Neurospora crassa OR74A: one gene and its partner. The protein of the gene in region 1 binds, or shares a complex with, the protein of each later gene. Links are inferred from orthologs where the notes say so. Each region holds a gene or a part of one and is shown on either strand. Other genes may lie near its edges.

What was found.
Region 2: rpa-1 (region 1) and rpa-3 share a complex: the UniProt entries of both Schizosaccharomyces pombe proteins name them as parts of the heterotrimeric canonical replication protein A complex. The link is inferred for Neurospora crassa OR74A from reciprocal best matches to the Schizosaccharomyces pombe genes ssb1 and ssb3.

What each region holds. Positions count from the first base shown.
Region 1 is NC_026505.1:1,820,201-1,829,730, forward strand, and holds rpa-1 (replication factor-A protein 1), read left to right. Parts: upstream 1-3,328; 5' UTR 3,329-3,565; coding exon 3,566-3,597; intron 3,598-3,658; coding exon 3,659-3,919; intron 3,920-3,980; coding exon 3,981-5,420; intron 5,421-5,481; coding exon 5,482-5,581; 3' UTR 5,582-6,008; downstream 6,009-9,530. Other genes in the region: NCU03605 (amidohydrolase), read right to left, coding at 1,315-1,757, 1,820-2,738; NCU03607 (threonine dehydratase catabolic), read left to right, coding at 6,574-6,910, 7,183-7,395, 7,558-8,174; ilv-2 (ketol-acid reductoisomerase), read right to left, coding at 8,610-8,637, 8,702-9,369, 9,447-9,530. UniProt on the Schizosaccharomyces pombe protein: As part of the replication protein A (RPA/RP-A), a single-stranded DNA-binding heterotrimeric complex, may play an essential role in DNA replication, recombination and repair.
Region 2 is NC_026505.1:4,665,282-4,673,623, forward strand, and holds rpa-3 (replication protein A-3), read right to left. Parts: upstream 5,012-8,342; 5' UTR 4,858-5,011; coding exon 4,705-4,857; intron 4,558-4,704; coding exon 4,455-4,557; intron 4,314-4,454; coding exon 4,243-4,313; 3' UTR 3,871-4,242; downstream 1-3,870. Other genes in the region: NCU01461 (hypothetical protein), read left to right, coding at 1-3,371. UniProt on the Schizosaccharomyces pombe protein: As part of the replication protein A (RPA/RP-A), a single-stranded DNA-binding heterotrimeric complex, may play an essential role in DNA replication, recombination and repair.

The DNA of each region.
Region 1 (9,530 bases):
CCTTGAAACACACTTCATCACCGACGCCACCATACGGCCATCAGCTAGCTGGTTCCACACACGTTTAACACGAGAAACAAAGTAATTCCACTGATTCACTGGCTGTGACATGGCCGAAGCGTGTGTGCTCCGCGAGTGTACGACATCAGATTCAAGTTGAGTATGTGTGTAAGGTACGGGAAGATCCAAGATATATATCATCTTCTCGCTCGCAAGACGGAGAGAGGAAAAGATGTCTTCCCCCTGGCGATGAATGAATAAGAAGGTGAAACCCGGTACCTCTAGATGAGTTACTGGTTATAAAGTCCTACTCGACTAGCGGAAGTGACTGTTTTGTACTTGGAGACTTGAGAAACTGGTGTTACACGGCGACATTGGGAGGAAGATGGAAGCATTTGAGAAGGGTTATGGAAGCATACCTGGAAAATAGGTGGGTGGGAGCACGGAGGATATTTTGGACACTCCTACTCCTTTTGGGATCACTGGGTTCTAGAAAGTATATCTCCCGGTACCTTCGTTGACAACTCGTGAGACACATGCAGAGTTAGAATGTCAACATTATTCAACCTGTAGGATTCAGCCATTCGTCAAAAAAGCAGAAAAAAAAGACAAAAGAAAAAAGGTGTAGGCTTGCGCCTGAGAGTCTAGCCTGTTGAACGCTTCATTGGACCACTTGACAACACGCCCCATTTCGAGGTGCTGAGAGATGGGGTGAAAGAGGTAGATGATCAACCCATGCCTGATGTTTGGAGGTAGTCTGCTTGGTTACCGAGCAACAGTCAGACGTTAAAGGGAAGGAGACATGAAGGTTAGCAATTGGCTTGGAGTCTCACGTCTCAAGCTGTAAGACACTCGACGTTAATCGCCGTGAATCTGTCCACGTTGGGCAGATCATCTTTCTGCTATATCAATTCGGTTGCATGAAATCAGCTGTCGTAATTTGAAGACACGCTCAGCTTTCCGACTTTCCTGCTGTATAGGGGAGCTTGGTATTCCCACATATGTATCTATGTAGAATGGCTCCCAATTCTGGGTCGTCAGAAGCGCTGAATTATGTTTAAGTTCGTCGTGATGCCAAAAGGTTGATCAAGCGCAAGAAGATTTGCGTCCGAACATGAATATATGTACAACATGTCCAAATCTCCAGAATAACCCTTTGTCCTGAGTTCTAAGCACCGCTTCTCTGAGAGGATAACGTTCCCCACATGCAAGTCATGAATTCGACATTGCCTTTCAAGCGTTGGGGTTTGACTAAGGAAGAAGCCAGCCTTCCTGTTTGTGGTGGTACTAATCTTAATATTCAGTGGTCCGCCGCTATTCGTCGCTTCTCGTCAAGTCTACGACTTTGTAGACCGGACGACTATCAAGTTTGTACGCTTCCCTCGCTGTTTCCGCCCAGAGCCTTGTCTGAGCCTCGGGTCCCAAGCCGGCCATATGGCACGTCATCTCCACCACTCTGCGCCACTTCTTCCAGGCTTCATCACCAAGGCCTAGAGTGCACACCGGCCAGTCGCTGCCAAACATGATGCGTTCGGGCCCAAAGGCGGCTATCACCACAGCAAGCCAGGGTAGGATAGCAGAGAGAATTTCCTCGGCCGGGCGAGCCCTCAAAAACTCGGGCATCTCGCTGAAGCAGCCGCTCAGTTTCATGTAGGTACGGTCGCACTTGCTGAGAGTAAACATGGCGGTGCGCCAGGCGATGTATGAGGGATCCGTTTGTACATTGACGATGGTTAGATCTGGCTTGCAAAGGTGGTCTGAGATGAGAACCATCAGTTAGCAAGCAAATCATGCAGAATGTGTCAAGGTAAAAACTTACTCAGGATAAATACCACTTTGTCCTCCTCGTCCACACCTTCGTGTGCACGGTCGATCATTTCTACCGCCTCCTCCAGTTGGATTCTCCCTCTTTTGTGCTGGTCAACACCCAGGTCAAAGACGAACTTCTTTCTGCCAAGCAGCTTCAGGCCCTCGATAAAATCGTCACTTAGGGCTGTTCCGTTGGGCTTATCTTGCAGCAAGTAGCGGAAACCCTTCACCTTGGCCCATGTTTCAGGCCCGGCTTCCTTTTCCGCAGCTGCGAGATACTTTTCCAACTCGGCAGAGCCCAATACAACCGGCGCCCACGGCACAATTCCGAGACAATCACGGCCATCGTCAGCCGTGTGGCCCTCGCCAGGCTTCGGTTGGCCGGTTACGATGCGGCGAAGCCATGCGATCTCTTGTAGGGGGTAAGTCCAATCCTTAGCATTGTCGTTCTTGCGGTCGACCTCAATTGCGACGTAGCCCTGAAGATTGCCAGGCGCACCGGTGGCGGTCTGGTATTCCTGGATGGAGTGCTGCTTGGCGAGAGGATTGTCTTCAGCGTACCACTGGTGGGATTCTACCTCGGACTGGGGATAGAGGTGCACATGGGTGTCGATGATGGGAACGGAAACGGCGGGAGATGATGCCATTTTGATCAGGCCGTTATCGAGCTCGAGTTTGGTAAAGCGACGGATATGTTTGGCAAGAAAGTAAGGTATCCAGTGATAGAGAAAGAGAAGGAGACAAGCGAAGCAAGCAAAGTCAGAGATGACAGGAAGTAGGAAGGTCAGGACGTCGAAGCGGTGTACCGTCCTGCAGGCAGACCAACGCTGAACACACAAAAGTAGAGGTATGGATGGGATGTAACTGAGGCAACGGGGGAACTTCCAATCGAGCCTTCTCCTTCTTATATTTTGTATTCGTTTTAGCATAGGCAGGCACGCGCTACAGTACGAGGAGAGTACCTCGATGGTCAGGAGGGGGTGGGAGATGGGATCGACACAGACAGCCAGGAACCACGACGAGGTGGGGTACGTTCGGCATGCAAAGGGCAGGCCCAAGACGGGACAATTCACACCGAAAGATTCAAAGATAGGGTTCCTGATCAAGAATGGTTACCTCCCGTCTTCGGTTTCCATTTCCTTGAGGAACCCAAGGTCCTTTTCCCTTTCGTCTTCCTACAGCACCGGAAGAAAGATACCCTTGTTATGTACAGTCATCACATGATTGTGCGAATATATTAGCAAAAAGGGTTCTATCTGCAAGACCTGACAGAGAAATCATGACATGTTCCAAAAGCTTAAGAAGTGAACGAGGCCAAGAGGGAAGTTGAGCCCCTGGAACTTGCTGAAGTTGAGCTCTCGGGTGGGGTTTGATGTGGAGATATGGGGTTGGCGGGCAACTGCCATGCTTGTCAGAAGCGCTTGGCAGCAACACTCCCCGGCAAACGCAAACTACACGCGCTATACAAACTGGGGCCCTCCGCACGGACCGTGGATGCCTAGCAATTAAACTCTTGCCCCTCCTCGACGCGCTGCCAAACGCGTCGCTGCTGCAGTCCATTGTTTGTGTGAAATTTCCCCTCCAGACCACCATCATCATCAGTCCAACACACTCGATCCATCCGTATCTTGTCGGATCTTTCTTGACTTCTGCGCCCCAATCCTTGCATCTTCGAACACGACTCACGCATAAATCAACCTCAAAAACAACATCGAGAACGTCTCCACGGGCTTGACGCCAACACTACCCAACCAACATGGCGGGTCAAATCACACAGGGCGCTCTGGAGTAGGTTTCTTCACGTGTGCTTCCATCCAGTAGTATGACAGACTCTGACTTCTTGCTATAGCGCCATGTTCAATGATCCCGATCGCGCACAACAACAGTTCCCTGTCCCCATCCTTCAATGTCTCCAGATCAAGACCCTCGACTCCAAGAATGGGGGCGCGGGCGCCACGGAGAGGTTCCGCATTGTGCTGAGCGACCTCAAGAACTATGTCCAATGTATGATGGCCACGCAAACAAACCATCTTGTTCACGATGGCCTCCTGCAACGCGGCTGCATCGTGCGCTTGAAGCAGTATCAAGCTCAATGTCTCAAGGGCAAAAAGTACGCCTATCTACCCCTCCGCCAATTCGGGAAATCCATAACACTGACTGTTTAAATCCAGCATCTTGATTGTCCTCGATCTCGAAGTTATCCAGTCCCTTGGCTGTCCCGAAAAGATGGGCGATCCACAGCCTCTTGGCCCCCGCAGTGCAGAACCACAGCAGAACCCCAATCTCGGCAGCACCGGCTTCTATGGCGTCAAGAGCGAACCTACCCAAGACACGAAACCACAGTTTCCACGCCAGATGCCCTCGCGTAATGCCAGCGGGGGTCAGGGATCAAGCACGATATATCCTATTGAAGGTCTCTCGCCCTTCTCGCACAAATGGACCATCAAGGCCAGAGTCACCTCCAAGTCCGATATCAAGACCTGGCACAAGGCTAGCGGCGAGGGCAAGCTCTTCAGCGTCAACTTTCTTGACGAGAGTGGCGAAATTAGAGCAACAGGATTCAACGACCAAGTCGACCAGTTCTATGATTTGCTACAGGAGGGTCAGGTTTACTACATTTCTACACCTTGCAGGGTACAGCTTGCCAAGAAGCAATGGTCGAATCTCCCCAATGACTACGAGCTCACCTTTGAGCGGGATACCGTGATCGAAAAGGCCGAAGACCAGACATCTGTACCACAGGTACGCTTCAACTTTGTCAACATCCAGGAGCTTCAGGATGTTGAGAGGGATGCGACTGTCGATATTATTGGTGTCCTCAAGGAGGTCCAAGAGGTGACCCAGATTGTATCCAAGACCACACAGAAGCCGTACGACAAGCGCGAGCTGACCCTTGTTGACAACACTGGGTACTCGGTACGTTGTACCATCTGGGGTAAGACGGCCACGAACTTTGATGCTCAGCCTGAATCCATTGTGGCCTTCAAGGGCACAAAGGTCAGCGATTTCGGTGGACGCAGCTTGTCCCTGCTTTCGTCTGGCACCATGGCCATCGATCCGGATATTCCAGAGGCCCATCATCTCAAGGGCTGGTATGATAGCAGCGGCAGGAACAACACCTTCGCCACCCACAACAACATGCAGACCTTGGGTGGTGCGACCGGTCGCAAGGACGACGCCAAGACCATCTCACAAGTAAAGGAAGAGAACCTTGGCACAAACGAGGCGCCGGATTACTTCGCTCTCAAGGCAACGGTTGTATTCATCAAGCAGGATAACTTTGCCTACCCTGGGTGCCGAAGCGAAGGCTGTAACAGGAAGGTCACAGATATGGGTGATGGTACCTGGCGCTGCGAGAAGTGCCAGATCAACCACGATAGACCTCAGTACCGTTACATTATGAGCGTCAACGTCAACGACCACACAGGTCAACTTTGGCTTAGCTGCTTCGACGATACGGCGCGGGTCATCATGGGCAAGTCGGCCGATGAACTTATGGAGATTCGAGAGACCGACGAGACGCGGTTGCCCGCCGAGTTTGAGCAGGCCAACTGCCGCAAGCTGAACTTTAGGTGCAGGGCGAAGATGGACACATTTGGTGAACAGCAGAGGTACGTATCGGGGGTTATTCTCACGATTAGATGGACGTTGCTGACACATTGCTTGTTGCAGGATTCGATACCAGGTCATGAGCGTGGCGCCCCTTGACTACAAGATGGAAGGAAACAAGCTTAACGAGCTCATCAATTCTTACAACCAAATGAGCATGTAAAGGGGAGGGTGGGGTTTGTTCACTTATGCGAGGAACTAGATGATGTATATGGTTAATGAACACGTGTTTGTATTTTCGGGCATGTGGTCTCAAGGATGAACGATATGGGCATCACTGGCCTATCGACTGAAAGATGATTTGCAGTTTCATGATGGACTGGGATGGTTAAGAGCTGTGATGGGCCGAACCCTAACAGAACTTTGTTGGCGTGGCAGCAAATTTCGGCATGATTGCAGACTTGAATAGGTCTCTCAAGCGTTATCTTGGAGTTGAGACACTAGGAGACCTTCCTGTTCGAGTTATCTTCGATAACATGCCGAGGTAAGTACACACGCTTCGTTGACTAGAAGAAAGCTCCAGAGCTGGTCAAGGTCGGATCAGGGCGGTCCTTGCAATGTAATACGCACCTTTCGGGCTCAATATCCACATGGCAATCCGATCATCTCATCCGTTATCGGCCTTCTTCACCCTCTCGTATTCTCAAACTCTTCTATGCTTCAGCTTTTTCACGCAAAGAACCCGTGGCACAGCCTTTCCTGGTCATCTTTCTTCACTTTCCAACTTCCGTTATGTGAATAGGCACCCCGGCTCCGGTCTCTATGCGGACTGTTTAGCTGCTCGATACCGTATCGGCACTTATCGATTACGCAGATGGATGACAGGAACCTAAACGCCGTATCTTCCTTATCGGCCGTCGTCGGGATCCCCTGCCGTGACTCCACATATCCGCCGTCCAGACCCGCCCCCGCTCCGTTCCCTCGGGCCCCCCACTTTCGATGTAGCGGGAAGCTGACACCGAGTTCTAGAACAAAAGACTATTGAAATCACGTTTGAACCGTATTCGTGTCAGCACTAAGACCAAGTTAAACCTTTATCTTTGCTCATACTTCTCTATCCCATTCAGTGTCTTCTTGTTGTCTACTTACACTCATCACCTTCCACCAACATCAACAACAAAGTGACAAGCTTCAACCTCTCAAACCTCCAACGAAATGGCCGACCCCAGCACCACCCCTCCCCTTACCCGTGCCTCCGTCCTCGCCGCTCACTCCCTCATAAAGCCCTACATTCACGAGACGCCCGTGCTTACGAATACCACTTTCGACCAACTCGCTTCCACCCCTCGTACTCCCGAAGAGCTGCAAGGAACGGAATGGGAGGCTACCGAAAGACCGGCGAACCCAAAGATTCGGTTCTGGTTCAAGTGCGAGAATTTCCAGCGGATTGGCGCGTTCAAGGCTAGAGGAGCGTTTCATGCTGTGGAGAGGTTGAAGCAAACTGAGGGGTTAGAGGGGTTGAAGAAGGGCGGAGTAGTGACGCATAGTTCTGGTTTGTGAATTTCCGCTTTTTTTTTTTTTTTTTTTTTTTTTTTTTTTTTTTTTTTTTTTTTTTTTTTTTTTTTTTTTTTCTTTTAATCTGGATATGATGAGGTGATATCAGTATTGAGAGAAATGAGATTGTGAAGATGTGAAGTTTTTTTGAAGGCTTTGAAATAGGTTGAGTTGTCTGAATTGTCTTCTGAGATGTGATGAGAGTTGTCGATGTGTTCAAGACGTAGTAGCTACGTGAAGACCCAAACTGACGTGACAACGAACTAAAAGGTAACCACGCCCAAGCCCTTTCCCTCGCTGCCCGCGAGAACGGCATCCCGGCGCACATCGTTATGCCTACCATCTCGCCTCCGCCCAAGATCGCTGCCACCAAGGGTTACGGCGCCAACATAACCTTTAGCGGAAGCACGAGTACCGAGCGTGAAGCAGTTACAAGGGAGGTGATTGAGAAGACGGGTGCGAGGCTGGTGCCGCCTTATGATCGTATGTCCCTTCTCCTTTTTTCTTCTCACGTGTCCTTTCTTTAGGAGTCTCTTCAGAGTGTCTTCAAACCCTCTCGAGGTCCTCTCGCCCACTTTCATCCTCCCGTCTCTTCACCCCAACACTGAACTGACCAACTAACATCCCCACCCCAACCCACACCAGACCCAGACATCATCCTCGGCCAAGGCACCGCCGCCCTAGAGCTCCAACGCCAAGTCGCCGCCTCTCTCTCCACCTCCGGCACCACCACCACCACCAACCGTCGTCGTCTTAACGCGATAATAACCCCCTGCGGCGGCGGTGGTCTCCTCTCCGGCACCGCTCTCGCCTGTTCCGACCTCTCCCCTTCCGATCCCTCCACACCCGGTCCAATCCTGGTCTTCGGCGCCGAACCCTCCTTCTCGGGCGCGGACGACGGTCGTCGGGGTTACTACTCGGGCACTCGCATCGAGAGCGTCAAATCCTTGACGATTGCCGATGGGCTGCGGACTCCTCTGGGGGCGTATCCGTGGAGTATCATCTATGAGCGGAAGCTGGTGGCGGGCATGTACAGTGTGGGCGAGGAAGAGATCAAGAAGGCGCTGAGGCTGGTTTATGAGAGGATGAAGGTTGTTGTTGAGCCGAGCGCGGTAGTGGGGTTGGCGGTAGCGTTATTTAATGAGGAGTTTAGGAGTATGGTGGAGAGGGAAGGGGGGGAGGAAGGGTGGGATTTGGGGGTGGTGTTTAGCGGAGGGAATGTTGAGCTGGCGGCGTTGGGGAGGTTGTTTGGTGAGGAATAGACCGGTCAAGGAGAGGAGCTTATATAAAGAGGAACTAGGAGTTGAAGTCAATGTCAGCTCGTCTGCTGTCCAAGAATCAGACCACTAATGCATAAACCAAGCCATTGAACAGAGAAAGAAAAAGAAAAGTTCATTGACCGACATGCCACCGGGCAGAGGCCCCCCATAAAGATAATTATATACAATCCGAACAAACCGAACCCAGAACAAACCAAATCGAAGAGACGTCGGAGAAAAGGCTTTTTAATATCCCCCATATTTCCCAGAGGTATCCCGTCCCGTTCCAGCGGCCGGCCAGTCATATGATGCGGCCTGTGCAGCGTGTTGTGTGCATCTGTTATTTTTCAAACCTGCCCAACTACCGGAGTATCATTTGTGTATCCCTCGTGCAAGCAGAAATCACGACCCAACCAAAAAGCATCAAAAGCCAATTGTTTACTTCTGGTTCTCGGGACGGAGGGAGCTAGGAAGAGAAACAAATGTTAGTCAGGGGTCTTTGTGGCAAAAGGGCAGACGAGGTCACATACCGAACGGCCTTGCCGGCGCGCCAGATCTCGAGGTTGCGGATCTCGTCGAGCTCAGCCTCGTAACGCTCACGGTAATCGGGCTGAGAGTTGTACTCGAGAGAGCGCTTGGTCTCGTCACCGTTCTTGACGGAGTCGTAGAGGTTGTTGAAGACGGGCTTAAGGGCGTCCTTGAACTTGGGAGTCCAGTCGATAGCACCACGGCGGGCGGTGGTGGAGCAGGCGTCGAACATCCAGTCCATGCCGTGGGCACCAATGAGGGGGTAGAGGGACTGGGTAGCCTCCTCAACGGTCTCGTTGAAAGCCTCGCTGGGGGAGTGGCCGCGCTCGCGGAGGACCTCGTACTGGGCGAGGAACATGCCGTGGATACCACCCATCAGGCAGCCACGCTCACCGTAGAGGTCAGAGTAGACCTCCTTCTCGAAGGTGGTCTCATAAAGGTAGCCGGAGCCGACGGCGACACCGAGAGCGACGGCCTTCTCCTTAGCCTTGCCGGTGACGTCCTGGTAGACAGCGAAAGAGGAGTTGATGCCACGGCCCTCACGGAAGAGGGAGCGGACGGTACGGCCGGAGCCCTTGGGGGCGACGAGGATGACGTCAACGTCGGTGGGGACCTCGACCTTGGTGAGATCCTTGAAGACGGGGGAGAAACCGTGGGAGAAGTAGAGGGTCTGTTGAAGATGTTTGTTAGCTCGCGCCACCACAAGACCCAATGGCATCTTCGTTATGAGCTAGCTTGGTTACTCACCTTGCCCTTGGTGATCTGGGGCTTGATGTGGGGCCAGGTCTCGGACTGAGCGGCATCGGAAAGGAGGTTCATGACGATGGTACC
Region 2 (8,342 bases), about 2.8 Mb from region 1:
AGTGGGCCTCATTCATACAGTCCAACCCGGGCCTAGGGAGCTCGGCCAATATGGCTTCTATGCACTCGCCCGCCATGTCTACCGCTCCGCTGAACGTCAATCTCAACGGCGATGGTCGCTATATGAGTGATCCGTCTCCACAACCCACTCGGCCAGCCAGCATACCACCAAGCGGTTCTCAGCCACAACATACCGGCCCCGTGATCAACAGCATGCCGCCCGTCCAGCCTGTTCCTCCACGGCCAGCTCCTACCGGCGAAAGCGCCTCATCCCCGGCTCCCAGCCAGTCTGTCGAGATCCCCATCAGCCAGTCGGCGCGTTCCACCTCGAGACCGTCTAGTAGAGCGTCCCGTACTAGAGCTCCTACTGGCAGACCACGAGGCCGACCGCGCAAAAAGCCTCTCGAAGCAGGCAATACGTCAGCCGCCGAGGAAGCGACTGATGGTGATGATGGCCCGCAAAAGAAGAGAGCCAAGGTCACCAGTGCCGAATTCACTAGTAGTGCGCCATTTGGTTCAGCCCCAGAGTCATTGAGAGTTGCGGCCAGTACATCCGGTTCTCTGCGTAACATGAGGCCTGTTGGAGCTGGTGGTAATTCCTCTTCAGGGAGTCATGTTCAGGACGTGCCTCGCGCTCCTACCCCTGTTCCAGACGGGTCAATGTTACAGCGACAACAGAGAAGGCTCATCTTTGAGAACAAAATGAAGTCTGACTTTGCGGGTGATGCAGAGAGCAGCATGTACCAGTCGCGCTTCGGTCAACAAACCATGCAGAGGAGTATAAGCCACGATGCCCGGTCACCCACCGACTCCATCGGCCAGTCACCAGACCAAGGCTACGTGCCTGAAGATAGTCCCGCCGATATTGCATCATCCCCTCCGGTTCCCAGGACTAGTGCCTACATGCACTCAAGTCCTTATGTTTCAAGCCCAGTTCTCCCGCCTATGCCCGTTCCTATGCCACAAGTCGACTCCGGCTTCATGAGCGGCGGGTTCGACGACATCTTCGACGAGGATGAGCTATTACAAGATGCTCCTCAAGACCACGGCCAAGAGCTACCCGGCCAGCCTCAAGATCGAACGGTGATGAGCCCTCCGGTACCTCAAGTCAGCAAACTAAATGCACGAAAAGGGAGCCAGGCCCATCGACAGGGTATCAACTTCCCCTTCCAAGAAGTCAATCCCGGACCAAAGGAGCTTTTGCCCACGAAGAGCATCTTCAACCCTGCTGGAAAGACGAAGGCGCTGAACAGAGTCGCACACGCCACATCAGTCCCACCCATACCGAAAAAGAACGCGGATCGCCCATTCAAGAGGTCGAATACAGCCCCAAACCCTTCACTGTCCGATCACGATCCCTTATCGCGACAACCTAATGATCAGCAAGATGGCGAAGCTCCTCAGGAAGGGACTGCTTCCCAAACCTCACAGGCAGATATGCAAAGCTCTCAAACTCAACATCGGCCGCCGTTCAACCCTCAGCAACAACTCGAGACCCAGAACACGGGAAACACATCAGCTCAGCCACAAGCTCCTGTCCCTGCTACCACTGTGATGCCCATTCCTGAACGACCCGAACCTGTTCAGAGCAAAGCAGCCCAACCAGCGTCAAAGCCCGTCTCGAACAGCTCTGTCCCGGCCAGCGACCCCGTTGTGGGATCTACTGGAACGTCATCCCGAGCAGTACAGTCTGAAGCCTCTGCTCGGGCTCGTGCACCTGCCCCCCAGGAACCTAGCGAGCCCGAAGAACCGCCTCGCTATAACAAAAATATGGTGAAGAAGCAGTCAATTAAGGAGAAACTGGAGGAGGCTATTCAAAGAGGAGAGTCGCCGCCATTTTGCAACAATTGTGGCGCCATAGAAACTCCTACCTGGCGGAAGATTTGGACGCAAGATCATCGAGGAGTTCCTGGTCTTTACGAGTTTTCCGATAAACCTGGATTTGTGACTACGATCGATATCCTCGAGAAGGATGCTGATGGACAGACCATTATGTACCAATTGGTGAAGAAAAATCTCGGGCCCACGGACGACAAGAAAATTTGGAAGGAAACTCTCCTCTGTAACCCATGCGGTATCTGGCTCGCCAAATTCAAAGTTCATAGGCCACAGGACAGGTGGGACAAGGATGCCGCCCGACTTAATCAGCCCCGAAAGAAGAAAAACTCGCGCAACAAAAAGCGAAAGAATGACACCCAGACAAACCCAACATCGGAGGCATATTTCACGACTGATCCAATTGGACCGGCCGATCAGGAATCACCGGAAGAGGCGCAACATCAAAATATGACTCAACCGACGCACCAGAACGTGGCCGCAATGGAGGACAGCAACAACAACAATAACAATCAATCATTGCATCAGATGATTTTAAACTCGCGTAGCTCCCCAAAGCGACGTGGGCTCGGGTCAACTCACTCTAGGGGCAGTGGAACGGCGGACAGCCCCATCGCAGTAGAGGATGATCTTGGCACTACTAGAAGGCTTCTCTTCCCCTCACCTAGGAAGGAGGGAGCGCCAAAAGTCCTTGGGGAGCTCATAAGTAACGCCGTCAATGCCACCACTGCGTCGCAAGACCCGAAGTCTGCTGCCATGGGCAAGGAAAACATCGGTCACCAGCCGGCAAGGCGCCCCAATACCCCTGTCCTTGCGGACCAGGACGAGCTTGACCAAGAACTTTTCGGCAGTCCAGTCGTCAGGCCGTCAACACCGCCCCCGAAGAACCCCTCTTCGGGTATCTTCAAGACGCCTACCCGGCCGACTCCGAATCACCGGCCCATTACTAGGAGTATATCTCGGTCCATCCGTACCGTTCGGTCGGCGCAGAAGTCACCCAGTCAGCTCTTTACGCAAACCCAACGAACCCCCACCAAGACTCCGCGCGGTACGCGTACTGTCTCCGGTAGCAACGGAGGCATTCTCGTTAGCGCGTCCAAGCGGCGAAGCCCCCGCCACGCACGCTTTGCGCTTGACGACAGCCTGCACGTGCCTACCTCGTCCCCAACCCACGACTTTGAGGCTTGGGGCTCGCTGAACCAACTGTTGAGTGAAGCTGACCAGTTCACCGCCAACTCGTCATCGCACGGGCTTCTGGACGTTAATATGCAGCACTATGACAGCGACAGCGTGCAACAACTCGTGGAGGGCGCGGGTGCTTTGGACTTTGGCAGTTTCATGGGTACCGATATGGTCATGGCTAGCTCCCCGCCTATGATGAGGGGTCATCACCATGAAGATGGTGGCAATGGCAATTTGAGCTTCGAGGCGTCGTTGAGCATCGAAAGCTTGTGGGTGGAGACTACGGCTACTAGCGGAGGAGGAGGGTGTGAGGCGGAGAGGAATGCCGCTGCTGATGTGGATGAGTTGAGTTAGGGCCTCAATGATCAGTCGCAGTCGGAGCAGGGGCCGAAGCCCCCCTGGGAGAACAGTTGAGCTTGGATCTCGATAATCTACGAGATCCATCCGCAGATCTCGCAACTCGTGTGATTGAGATACGAATGATGTTGCAGTGAATGGGCACGGTTATGGTCTGATTCCAGATTGGGAGAGAAGGAAATCCATATTTCGCAGCGTGGGCGCAAAAAAACACAAAACAAAAGGTCACTACGATTTACACCTCAACGAAAAGTGGGATGATTATTCTTGCACGCTACGCGCGACTCGCCGCATTTGTGAAGAGGGGAAAGTGAAATGGGTGTTTCGGGCGCAATACTGATTGGGATGGGCTGGGATATGGGATACCAAAGCGTTTTTCTCTCTTTTATTTTCACCTTTTTGTTTTGCCTCGTCTTGCTTTTTTTGCTGTCTGCCATCTGTTCCTATGCAGTCTGTAGTCCGAGTCTCGTACCCAGAGCACAACTGAATTACATCACAATTGTATAGCAGTTGAGACTGCCGCATATCGGACTCCTTCTCCACATTTGCTCTCTATTTCCGCTGAGCTGCTCCTGCAAGAAAAATAGATATTGCCGCCGCCATGTCGAAGCAGGCATGACAATAGTAAGTTGGTTGGCATGTTCGTTTCCCCGCAGTGCCGCCGCGTCTTGCGTGTGCGTGGCGCCTGCGGTCGCAACGCTTGGACTATTTCGACATTTGGTGACGAATATCGAAGTATAACTCGGATGAAGGGTTCTAAGAAATCTGGGTTCCATTTGTTATAGTTGGGTATTATTTTGCCTCTTCCTTTTCCCCCTTCTCTCCCCATCTCTGGGGGTGTGTAGTGGTTTCCTCGCGCCCTCTCACCTTAGTTCTCGTACACAAAGAGGGGCTTGTAACGATGAGTGACTTCCACGACAGCGTTTGCTAGGTTGTAGTCTGTTTCATGCGTAAGCACACGTAATATCTACAATGGTGTAGATAGAAGTATAGCGATCAAGGGAGGAGGATGGATGATGAGGGATGGTCACAAGAGAGGAGGAGGCGGGGGGCGATGGGGAAAGAGAAGAAGAAACTCACCAACACCCTGCCCCAAATCAACGGAGCTAAGCACTTTGATGGAAAGATCCGGGTTGACCTTGCCGATGAGTTGGACGCCGTTGTTTGCTGAGAGGTGTGCTTCCTGTAAGTTTTCGACATGTTTTGGTTAGTCATCACGGGACACTATCCAATCCATCATGACTCTTAACAGCCTTCGTTTCGTCTCTTATTCTTGAAGTTTGGTGGCACCAGTGGAAAAAAAAAAAGAAGGGCGAGAATCCGAACGTACGCGGTTCAAAAATGCATGAATGGTCCCATCAGCGTCAATAGTCGCCTCCTCGCCGCGTAGCTGGACAACTTTGCCTACGACCGTCACGAGCTTGCCGACATACTGGCTGAGATAGGCGCAGGTGATGCGGGGGGTGGAAGATTTGTTGTCCATTTTTTTTCCTCTTTCCCGTGTGTCCGTGAGCTGAAGAGTCCGCGTAGGTATGGAGAGTGTGGTGATTGAGTGGTGGGGTCGTGTTATTGGTGTTGTCGGAGAGTTGGAGTTTGCGGAGCAAAGAGGTCAATGTCGTGAGTGAGGCTGTTGTGAGGTTTCTGATACACTTTTTGTTGTTTGTTTGGGTTGGTTGATGATGGTCTTGGTTTTGTTTGCTGTGAATGTACTAACAGCTCAGTGCGGTTGCTTGGTGTGATGTTGTTAGGGGAAGGAGTTTCGTTACGTGCGGGGCACTGGGCCATGTACAGTGGAATCTCTGGAAACTGCATGTTATTCAGACAATGGGGACCCGCCGCGAGTGAGCTATTCACTGATCACAGTATATGCAGATTAGGGGGCTGAGTTTTGGTTGGGGACCTGGTTTCGTAGCCAAGCCTTGGTTTGCGGTAAGAGGGAGTGCTTTGGTGCTCATGCAGTATAAGGGTAATGCATTCGTAGGGGCTTCTATTGTAAAGGGTTTCAAGTTCAACACAAGTAACGAACGTCGTTGCTTCCGGGGTTTGAATGCCGTGCCGGCTATCATTGATTCACGGTCCTTCTTCAACACGAAGGAGGACATCCTTTCTGTGGATCAAAGATTCAACGTCACAGTCGAAAGCGCGTCCGATATCGAAGCGACAACAGCAATTCCAGTGAGGCACGATATTTGTACACTTCGCATGTATTTACTTGCTGCCTGCACTGTGCCTGCTTCCTTGGAATTCAGACCATGTGCGGTACAGTCGGCACCTTTGCTGTGAGCGACAGGGGGTCGAGAGCCCCACGGCATTCAAATCTGTGGGAATGGCGGGGATAAGGAAGCCTAGGAGCCCCACCATTTAGCGTCCTATCAGCGGGGTGGAGATGCGGGTCCCGATCTACGCGAGCTGGAACTCAACTTCAACTTCGCCAGAACAACGTCCTGTTGCGCCGCATTCAGCGACATCCCTTGGTTTCGTCTCGGCGGTTCGATCTTTGGATGAAAACTTGCCGTCTGTCTTGGGCACCATCGGGCTTTTTTTTCTTGTTCTCTTTCTTTTTTTGGTTTTTCATTTTTCTTTTTTCTTCTTCTGCTCTTCAAGAAATCTAGAGCTGGGGGGCATGGAAAGATATGACTGGCGAATTGGACTGGAGGGAACTCGCTCACTCGGAATCCGGCTCCGCCACGGTTTAAATCACCGGTGATTCTGTGGCTGCAAGTTCAAAGTCAAAAATCCCCTTGTCAGGTACCGAGCACGAACCACCATAGGCAAAGCTCATGACTTTGTCCAGGACACTGTGTGATCAGCGATCATCAGCGACCCGGCCCACGGGTTTTTACAGTGCCTGCTTACCCATCTCACCATAGTGCGTGACAGCATCATCCAGGGGACTGGCCAGGTCTTCTTGAGAACTCCGATGAAAGCGACAAGGAATCCAGTCAAGAGTCCAGATTCTCGACGCCGCTTATCTTCCAGCGCTCTCACGGGGAAAGTTTGAGCTTTAGATGGCATGCATTCAATTTGATGCTGGAGCTTGAACACAAATCATTTACCAAGTCGTCAATCAAGCATCTATCTGAGTCCTCAATTAAACATCTTTCAATGCCCGGTCACTTTGCTGGTACGAAGTTGCCTCGGGAAAAGGATGCCCAGATTATATCGTCCCCACATGCTGGTGAATAAGTGCTAGAGGTGGCAAAAGACATGGAGTCTGCACAAAGAGCTGTAAGGCAGCGGTATCATTCCACTTTGTAGCATGATCTCCATTCAAGCTGCTCGGTACATCCTGACAGATATGCACGCTCGGCCAGGGACAGGGTTTCGTGGATACCTTTTGGTGTCGCGAAAACGATGGCTCGAGATTGCGCCATGCCAGAATCGACTCCATTCACACCTTCGTCAAAAAGCCCCCAACTGGTCGCGGGAAGTTACTAGGAACCCCCAAGTCAATCGTTCCATTTCGTACCTTGAGGAATCATGTCAAGTCAGTTACCCGGCCTGTATGCAGCAACGCTAATGCACGTATGCCACTTAGGGTATATACTAAATATTGTTTTCGCGGCGTATCCGATGCTTCCGAAGCCGCAGTAGGGTATGTCGGAAGCCCGCCGGGAGGAGATGCTTGTACAGTGTTCAATGCCGCAGGTAGATCAGATCTACAGCAAGCCTTTCGGTATGGTGAGAGTGGAAGGGAAAGGGAAGGGAAGGAAAGGGAAGGTAACACAGAGCAAACTTACACAGTGGAGGTGTACGTTGTGCTCTCGTCCACTCAGCTTCCCCATGTCCTCTCCTCCATGATCACTTACAACCCCGCCTTGTACGACCAGGGCAGAGCACTTTCGAAAACCACCATTTCGGTTTGCTGAGGCTTAAGCCACCAGAATACAGAATACCTAAGTCTGCCCACCTAATCCATCAGATGGAGATTCTTGATTTCCCATCGCTGACCGGTTCTCTGTGCCATTAATCATGGTAACGTCTCAGCCATTGTCTTCCCATGGCGGGAACTTTGAACCTGGCCTCGGCCTGGCAGACTGGACTGGCCTTGGACAGTACCGCAAGCCAATTAGAAGCCTACCGCACCTTAGAATGTGTGGGTGTCTGGAGCTAACGCGTTCTTGTGCAGCGTAAACAGCTTAGACGCTTCCATACAAGTCACAAGCTGCCCGGATCATGGAAGGCAATGTTACATTGATCAGGGCCGGGATGCTACCCTCCTGAACTGAGACATCTGGCGGCTCCTCTTCTCCGCTCTCGTCTTCCAAGAGGCATTCCAAAAGGCGATGGGTCTCATTGCCGGCCTACCAGTCCAACGAGTCACCTCCTCATCCAGGCCAAAGCGCATCGCCCCTCATACACGACCGCTCTCTAGCTGAGGGGTCGGAGATCGGATGAAGCGAGTGAAGCTCTGGCCGAGCTCCCTCGTACGTTTCCGACCAACGCACCTCCAGGCACGGTATCTTCCGAGCAGGGAGCTATCCTGCATATCGAGCTCTCTCCTCACCTCGGCTAGGATCGTTTGACTGTTGTGGTTGGGAGGCCAACAAAGCAGAGAGGGTCGAGGAGAGCTCAGAGCTTGGGCTTTGCCCGCCCCAAAGCTTCACAAGTCACAGGTAGCATCCGTCTGTCGTTCCAGTCCATCCACCAGCACAACCTCCTCGGTCTACCATCCTTGAAATCCTAGAGGCGAGCTCTTTTTTGTGTCTTTCCTTTCCTGCTTGCCCGGCCTGCTCAGTCCGCCACGCTAAAATGGGGGTAGCACGGAAAAGCATTTGGTACGGCCATTGTTGCTTGATGTTGTGCCAGAACAGAGGTACCCTCCCTCCGCCTGCTTGCCTCCACCAACGTAGCTTGGCATCCGAGCTTTCGTCCTTCATCATACTCGCCTGTTCACCAGCAAGTTTGAATGTCAATTTCAAATCCATCTTTCCTTTCCGGGCTGTGGTTTGACTGTTAGTCATTGCT